2 linked regions of the Oryzias latipes genome follow. The protein of the gene in region 2 purifies or fractionates together with the protein of the main gene of each other region. This does not show direct contact. Links are inferred from orthologs where the notes say so. Each region holds a gene or a part of one and is shown on either strand. Other genes may lie near its edges.

Region 1 (3,043 bases), on a different chromosome or scaffold from region 2:
GTCCACCTGTGTGAGCCAGACCCCCACCACCACCTCGCTACACCAGAGGAAGTCCAGTTCTGTCAGCAACAACCCGTTTTTATCTTTTTTCTTGTTTTTCTGGGGTATGACGCGTCTTGTAGGTTGAAGCTTCCTTTGTCCGTGGTCGCTTTCCTGTGTTTCCAAGGTCTGTATGTACAAAGGTTTCAAATCCCTGAAGGACATTTACAAATACAAGTGCAACCTCCATGTGACCGGCCCTTTCGGGAGGGGCCGAAAAAGGGGAAACGGTACCGATCAATTCAAACGTGCCACGGTAGGAATGGGGGGGGGACACCAATGTCAGGAATGAAGGCAGAAGATGTAGGAATGTGGAGATCCTGGAATGTGGCACCAAAATATTCCATCACAATCTGAGGAATGTCCGAAATGCGATCGACCTTAGAAAGTGCACAAAACGAAGCGTCTGCTGTTGGTTTCCTTCATGCTGGTCTCCTTAAGTCCTAAACCCAACTTCTCCACACCCACAACTGACTGAATTGGAGGAATTTGTTCCACACTTGTTCTGTCAGTGATGTCCTCTGAGGGCGTTTCCGTGGTGACCCAGATGGCAGAAATCAATGTGGGGTGAGAGTTTTTTTTTTGTCCTTTTTGTAGCGAGAAGTTAGGGTGTAAACCTTTATATATCAGGAGGGGGCGCTGGCTGGAAAAGTGACTACATGGGGAGATGTTGAACACATTCTCATTCTCACACAACATAAACTCCTCCTGTCTTTGAGGAGCCTTGGAAGATTTTAGCTCTGGGTCGTCGGTGCGTTTTTTTTTGGACTTTTTATCACATTATCGGAGAAAATGAATAGCAGTTACTGAGTAGTAGCCAAATCCAAACAGTGTTAAAGACCGACAAACGCAGCGTCAGAAAACCCCTTCCGTCTTCAAGGAAGATCCAACCTGGTGCCGTGTCGTCCCTTACGGCCTCCTCTTACATTCCTTTCGGGGAAGAAGGTGGAAAAAGAAGAGGTTTAGGCAGAGGAACTCACAACGGAAGAGTGGAAAAGGACTTTCAGCTCCTCTGTGGTTCCACGGGCTAACACCAGAGGGGGGCTTTCAGGACGGTTGGGACAATAGGAAGAGGATGATGGATCAGCCTTTGTGGGTTTTTTTAGCTAGGAGTTGATCCAGGGGTGATTGAGGCATTCGCTGGCCGAGGCTCTCTTCTCAGGAACCATCTCCAGCATGGGCAGAAGGAATTGAGTGAATTGGCTCGCGTCTTCTGGCGACCAGCCGTACTTTTCCACCAGGACGTCGAACAGCGACCACGGCTTCAGCTTGGTAATGTGCCGCAGGTCACCTGAGGTTCAGATAAAGCAGAGTCAGGGTGGAGGACAGAGATGACTGAAAATGAAAAACGAGAATGCTGGTTTTCCATTTTCTCAAACAATTTAAAGGGAAGAAAACCCTGACAAATGAAAAAATAATGAGGCACATTTGGTATTTTCCTTTATTACTGAATGTGGAACAGAATCGATCATGATTAAAGTGTTCCTGAGAGAACTTTCAGATACCAGCAGTCTTGATTTTCATCCTTGCATTTTAATGCATTTGAAGCACAAACATCAAAGCTTTCCTTATTTTAATGAACATTCATGCACATACATGAAAAATCGTACATGTGGAAAAACTGCAGTGAGTACCAACTATAGTAGTACTATCGAGAGTTATCAAGAGTTTTGAACTCACTAAAAACACAACAACTGGAATCTGACTCAAAACCTTACTGCAGAATAGCTCCAATATTGGCTGCCATTTTTGGTGCACCTGTAATGTTAGCTTGGCTGGGAGCTCGTGGAAGAGTGAGTAAACAGATGGATGATGGGAAGTGAGGGCGGGCTATCATCAACAGTCCCACCCACAACTCAGAGGCAAATTTCTAATGAACCAATGCTCTGCAGAATCAGTGTCCTAGAAAATGAATCAGTTTTTTTCTATAATTTTAGCTAAAAACGGCACAATTTTAATTAAAAGGCCAATAGGAACGCTTTACAATAGATCAATCAGAGTGGGACTTCAAATTCACTTTTATGTTTTTGTCATTTCATTTATACGACAGACTCAGACTCTTAAGAAGTCCAGTTTAAAAATGTGGTTGCCGTGGTAACCCCTTTCTTTTGCACATGATGGGGGATGAAACAGAGATTTGACTCCAGTAGAATCCTGCCGAGCGCCTTTGAGCAAGACAGCAGAGACCCCAGAGACAGACCCGGAAAGCGGGTCTAGATTAACGCAGCAAAACCAGATAAAAGGCAGAACACGGAGACACGAAGTGTGGACTCAGACCTCGGATAGAGACATCAAAGGCCGGATCTTCCCATCTCATTGTAAAGAGTAAACTAGCAGAAAGGAGAGTGCAGCGGTCATCAGCTCTATCGGGTTCATACCTCACCCGGCCCAAACAGAAGGGATTTCCACATATTATTTAAAGACACTGTACGGCGAGACAGAACCAATAGTGCTCGCCATTTTTGTTGCACCTGTAATGTTAGCTTGGAGTTGTGAGGACTTGCAGACTAGCAGTGTAAAACAATGGATGATGGGAAAGGGAGGCAGGCTTATTCTGCACCTACAGCTCCGCCCACAACTATGAGGCAAATTTCTAAGGAGTTACTGCTGCTTTTTTTTTTGGCTAAAAGAGCCATAATCATAGTTTAAAGACGACTGGGAATGGATTCCAAAAGTGGGACTCCAACTTCAAACTGTAGCCTCAGACAGAGCGGAAAAGTTTTAAAACAGGCTTTTAGTCATGATAAGCTTATTTGGTGTTTGTAACCATTACATTCTTTCTGTCTTCACCTCAAAACCTTCCAGCATAAAGTATTTGTCCAGTGAAGATGAGAAGGAAAAGTTCAATAACATGTTCTAATAACGCATGAGTGGAATTAAAATGACAAGTGCTTTAAGTGTTTTAGGGCTGCTATCAATGCTAACGCTAGAAAGACTTCCACACTTGCAGCTAGATGACCGTTTTTCATTTTTAAGTTCAGTCAGTCAGTCAGTCAGTCAGTCA
Region 2 (4,445 bases):
GAATTGGCAGGAGGTAGAGGTGTACCAATGCATTTTAATAATTCGGCTCAGTTTGTGGTTGCCGACAAGATTCATAGTAGATATGTGTACTTTGAATGATCCTATGACCTAAAATCAATCCAGGACAACTCCATGCATCTCATAATAAATACCAGGGTGCTGTGCAGTGAAAGTGACGTTTACCAGATTACTTGGATTTCTTGCAAGATAATTTAGTGTAAATAAATGTGTACAAAACAAGTAAACAACAATTCATTACTAATAGTTATGGTAAAAAAAAACAAAAAAAAACACGATCATGTCTCAGTTCAACTAGTATTTTCCGAGATCGATTATCATTCATTCATATTATTTTGAAAGGATTTTATAATGCTATAGGTTAATTACGAACTTGCCTCAGATCCGGTTGGATAAATCGATACATTGATTAATTGTTACACCCCTTGCAGGAAGCTGTGTAGGTGCCAGTCTGAGAAGGATGGAGTAAATACAAGTTTTAGATGACCAAAAAAAAATCCATAAACAAGAAATAATGAAAATCAATCAAGTAATCTAATTACTTTAATACAAAACAACAAATACCAAGCTCCAGGTACAATGTCTGACAAGTCAGACACTGGGTGCAATGCTTTCAAACTTTTTAAAACTAAAGTCATGTCAAAGTGACTTAGAAAAAGCATACTTACATGTAATCTGGGAAAAAAACAAATATTTTATTAAAAAAACGCCTTTTACTTCCACCACTTAAAAAGGAAAAAAACAAATTACAAATTTCAACCTGTGTTGGCATTATTTCTTGGCAAATGAGATCTTCATTGCATGAGTCTGTGTGATTTTGAATCCCTGTAGTGAATCTCGTGCAGCTCCAGCCTGAACCTCATTATCAAACTCCACAAAGGCGATGTCATGGCGACCAGGGACCAGACGCACCTCTTTAAAGCCAGGGAACCTAAACGCAGAAAACGGTCACGGTCAGTCTTTGATATGTTGGGCAGAAAAGAAAGTCAAAGCATAAAACAATTATCAAGTCAATACTGACTGGTTAAAGAGCATGGAGAGCATCAGCTCGTTCGTCTCCTCTGGCAGGTTGGTGAGGAAGAGGATGTGATTCGGTGGATTTTCTGCAACCTGTAAGAGAAGGCAAATGTTTGACAAAAAAGAAACAAAACCTGGAATGTTCATCTTTGGTTAAACATGTAAAGAACAGGGGGACAAAAATCATTACCTGCTGAGGCATTTGGCCAGGCATCATCTGACCCATTGCACCTGGGGGGATCTGGCCAGGCGCCATTCCTGGGGGAGGCATCATGCCTGGAGGAGGCATGTAGGCCGGCTGGCCTGGAATATGCATCATACGGGGAGCTTGGCTCATAGGAGGCATTCCCTAGAGAATGACACATTGTAAACATGTTCATGGTCCTCTAAATGTTTGCTAGGTTGATATTATGTTCTGTGGGGTTTTTAAACCAAACTTTTTCTCCATCAATTGCTGTTATTTTAGCTTAAAATCTCCAAACAACCTATCGCTATGGTAAACTTAGCAAGTTTGCAGACAGTATTTTTCCACTTTTAACTTGTCCGAGTAAGAGCTGCCATGTCATTCTGGTCACAGTAAACGTTCCCACTTACAGGCATAGCAGTAGGCACACCAGCCATCATGGCTGCAGCAGCAGCTTTCTTAGCTCCTGTTCCTTCAGGCTTGGGCTTCCTCTTCTCCTTTTTGCGCTCACGTTCCACATAGGTTCCTTTCATTTTTGCTATGATGTCCGAGTCTGTTTTGGAATACTGAATGCGCTGCAGTAAGACACGTTTAAATATGTGGCATTACTATACCAAGTGTGCTTAAAAAAAAGAAAAAATCCATTATACCTACTAGTTATTTAAATGTATTTTTAATAACCATTAAAAAGTGTTCAGTGTTAAGTGTTCAGTGATCCTCTCACACTGAGCACTTCTAAGTTTACAAAGATCAATCCTTCATTTGATGCACACTGTGGAATTGAAACATTTCACAAACTATACAACACATGACAGCAGAGAGGAATATTGAAAACTAAGATTGATTTGAGTTTTAACATTTTACAGGACGATATTTGTAAATTTAAAACCATGGAGGAAATTAAAACAACGTTTAACTTACCATGGGTTTATCATAGAAAGGGAACCCCTGCATGGACCTCAGTGCATTTGAGGCGCTGTTGATCTCTTTGAAGATAACAAAGGCCTGACCCTTCATCTTCAGGGTTCGTGCGACGAGGATGTCCAAAATTTGACCGAATTGCGAGAAGATGGCGTACAGTGACTTCTTCAGTTCTAATAAAGACAGAGGAAAATAAAAAGCTGTGGTGGATCTGAATTAACATCATTTATCACCACATCGTTCTTTCGACCAAAAAAGCAAAGAAAGGCCAGAAGTTAAAAAACTTACCATCTTTCTTAATTTTTTCGTTCAAGTTGTTGATATATATGGTGTGATTGGGTCGTACTTCTGGAGTGGTCATCTTAAAATCTACGAAGAGTTGTTTGGAAAAGAACAAAGCATGTCACATAAAATGAATTGAATGCTATCAACTAGTTAGCAGGCTAACAGCTAGCGCTAGCAAACAACCCTGAATGCATGCAGGCATTACTAGCATAAAGCTTAAAACTCGGTATAAACTGAGACAAATCAGCAATAAATGATTAATTTAATCGAACTATCTGTAACCTTATGACATTTGGTTTTATAAAAGAGAAAAAACACCGGATAACCGCACCTGAGTATCAGTTTTAACAAAAAACCCACCACCGCTCGGCGCGAAAGGAACGCTCACTTCGATGGGTGAATGAAAAACCTGCCTTTACAATTTCCGTATCATCTGCTCGCGATAAATCCAACTTGCACGTGATTTCCGGTCCTTCTCTTTTTTATTGAACATTTGCAGAATATAATACAAAAATGCAACATTTATAACAGTAAAATATAAAGAATACAATTACGTTCTGAATAAATAAAAAAATCTTTTTAACCTTGTAAAAAACTTCTTCTTTCTCTTTCGGCTTTTCCCATCAGGGGTCGCCACAGCGAATCATCGTCCTCCACCTCACTCTAACCTTGTGAAAACTATTAAGAACAAAATTATAAGCAATATCGATTGTTAAAACGAATCTTGTTCAATAATATACAATTAAAGCAATCACAGAGGGAAAAACTAAGTAACAATACAGTAACAGTAAAAATAAATACATAAATAAAACAAGAATAAAAAATAGAAATAAAGCCAGTGTATTTGCGGTCCTTTTCAGTCAATGGTCAAAAACGAAATTTGTTTCAGTATTTGCGTTAGCAAGATATTTTAATCGTCCTATCAGTGTGGTATCGTATCTTGACAGGAAAGATTAAAAGAAAATGTCAAAAATCTGTAAAAGAAAAAGAAAAAAACCCAGAGACACAAGCGAAAAAAACTTCGCTTGTCCTGTTACACACTGACTGTGGATTGACTTGTCACTAACTTTGTGCCTTCAACTTTATTTCCAAATACATTGTACGGTATGTGTGTAAATGGTGTGTTAAACTGTAGATGACTAGTGATGGAATGATCATCATCACTCACTGGAGGGTGGTGTAACAGTTGAGTACAGAGCGATCGCACACACGAAGAAGAGCGAGTATGTCCAAATATGAGCACGGAGCTGCGTTAGCTACTAGCTTGTTAGCTAGTTAAATCGAAAAGTTTGTTTACCACGTGCAAGAATATGTCAAATCTTTTTCGTCCAAAGGTTGACATGTTTAGGTAAACATCGAGCTTTTTAGATTGTGTGCAAACGACTCGAAGTGAAAGGTAAGCAGTTATTGAGCCCCATGTTAGACTTTAATGGTACTTAACTTTCTCCCTGGTGGTTATTAAAGAAATCAATGGAGGTACATTTTTCCCCCCAACAGAGCTGGTTTTGATCAGACAGAGTAGAAAGATTTTGAGACTATGCCGGTGGACTGCAGCTTGTCATCACCTCCTCCACCTCCTCCACTGGCTGCTTGTCCGCCTCCTCCTCCACCAACTTCAGCACCACCGAAGAAACTGTACCAGATCATAGCAAATAACAGCAGCCCTGTAGAGGGGCAATACACCGAGGCGAGGTTACTGCTGAGGCAGAAGGAGAGCAGGTGAGGAGGTTCACTACCAATCCAAAGTATTTATTTGAGTCCTGGATTGTTATTGAAGCTCACATATCTCATTTTTTTTAAACTAATGTATTCCATTTTTCTTTTAGATTCAGGAAAGACCTGCAGTGGATGCTGATGAACACGTATGTGCCTTCCCTCATTCAGGATGGCCCTCAGTAAGTCAGTCAACTGTGCTGTCGGGAATAAATAGCACCAATTTTTAGACTCCAAAGGGGATATCATGTCAGAACGATCTTTGGATTCAAATATTTGGCCAATTGACCGAGTGAGAATGTGAATG

The links.
Region 1: the proteins of snrpa (region 2) and SRSF protein kinase 2 purify together in Homo sapiens (affinity purification with mass spectrometry; 4 studies listed by BioGRID and IntAct, with this or other methods). This does not show direct contact. The link is inferred for Oryzias latipes from reciprocal best matches to the Homo sapiens genes SNRPA and SRPK2.

Annotation. Positions count from the first base shown.
Region 1 is NC_019864.2:11,768,387-11,771,429, forward strand, and holds the end of SRSF protein kinase 2, read right to left. Parts: intron 1,331-3,043; coding exon 1,146-1,330; 3' UTR 581-1,145; downstream 1-580. UniProt on the Homo sapiens protein: Serine/arginine-rich protein-specific kinase which specifically phosphorylates its substrates at serine residues located in regions rich in arginine/serine dipeptides, known as RS domains and is involved in the phosphorylation of SR splicing factors and the regulation of splicing.
Region 2 is NC_019871.2:13,958,126-13,962,570, reverse strand, and holds snrpa (U1 small nuclear ribonucleoprotein A), read right to left. Parts: upstream 2,839-4,445; 5' UTR 2,757-2,838; intron 2,510-2,756; 5' UTR 2,502-2,509; coding exon 2,429-2,501; intron 2,314-2,428; coding exon 2,141-2,313; intron 1,795-2,140; coding exon 1,630-1,794; intron 1,385-1,629; coding exon 1,226-1,384; intron 1,129-1,225; coding exon 1,040-1,128; intron 950-1,039; coding exon 790-949; 3' UTR 779-789; intron 694-778; 3' UTR 544-693; downstream 1-543. Other genes in the region: c13h19orf54 (UPF0692 protein C19orf54 homolog), read left to right, coding at 3,963-4,144, 4,252-4,320. UniProt on the Homo sapiens protein: Component of the spliceosomal U1 snRNP, which is essential for recognition of the pre-mRNA 5' splice-site and the subsequent assembly of the spliceosome. U1 snRNP is the first snRNP to interact with pre-mRNA.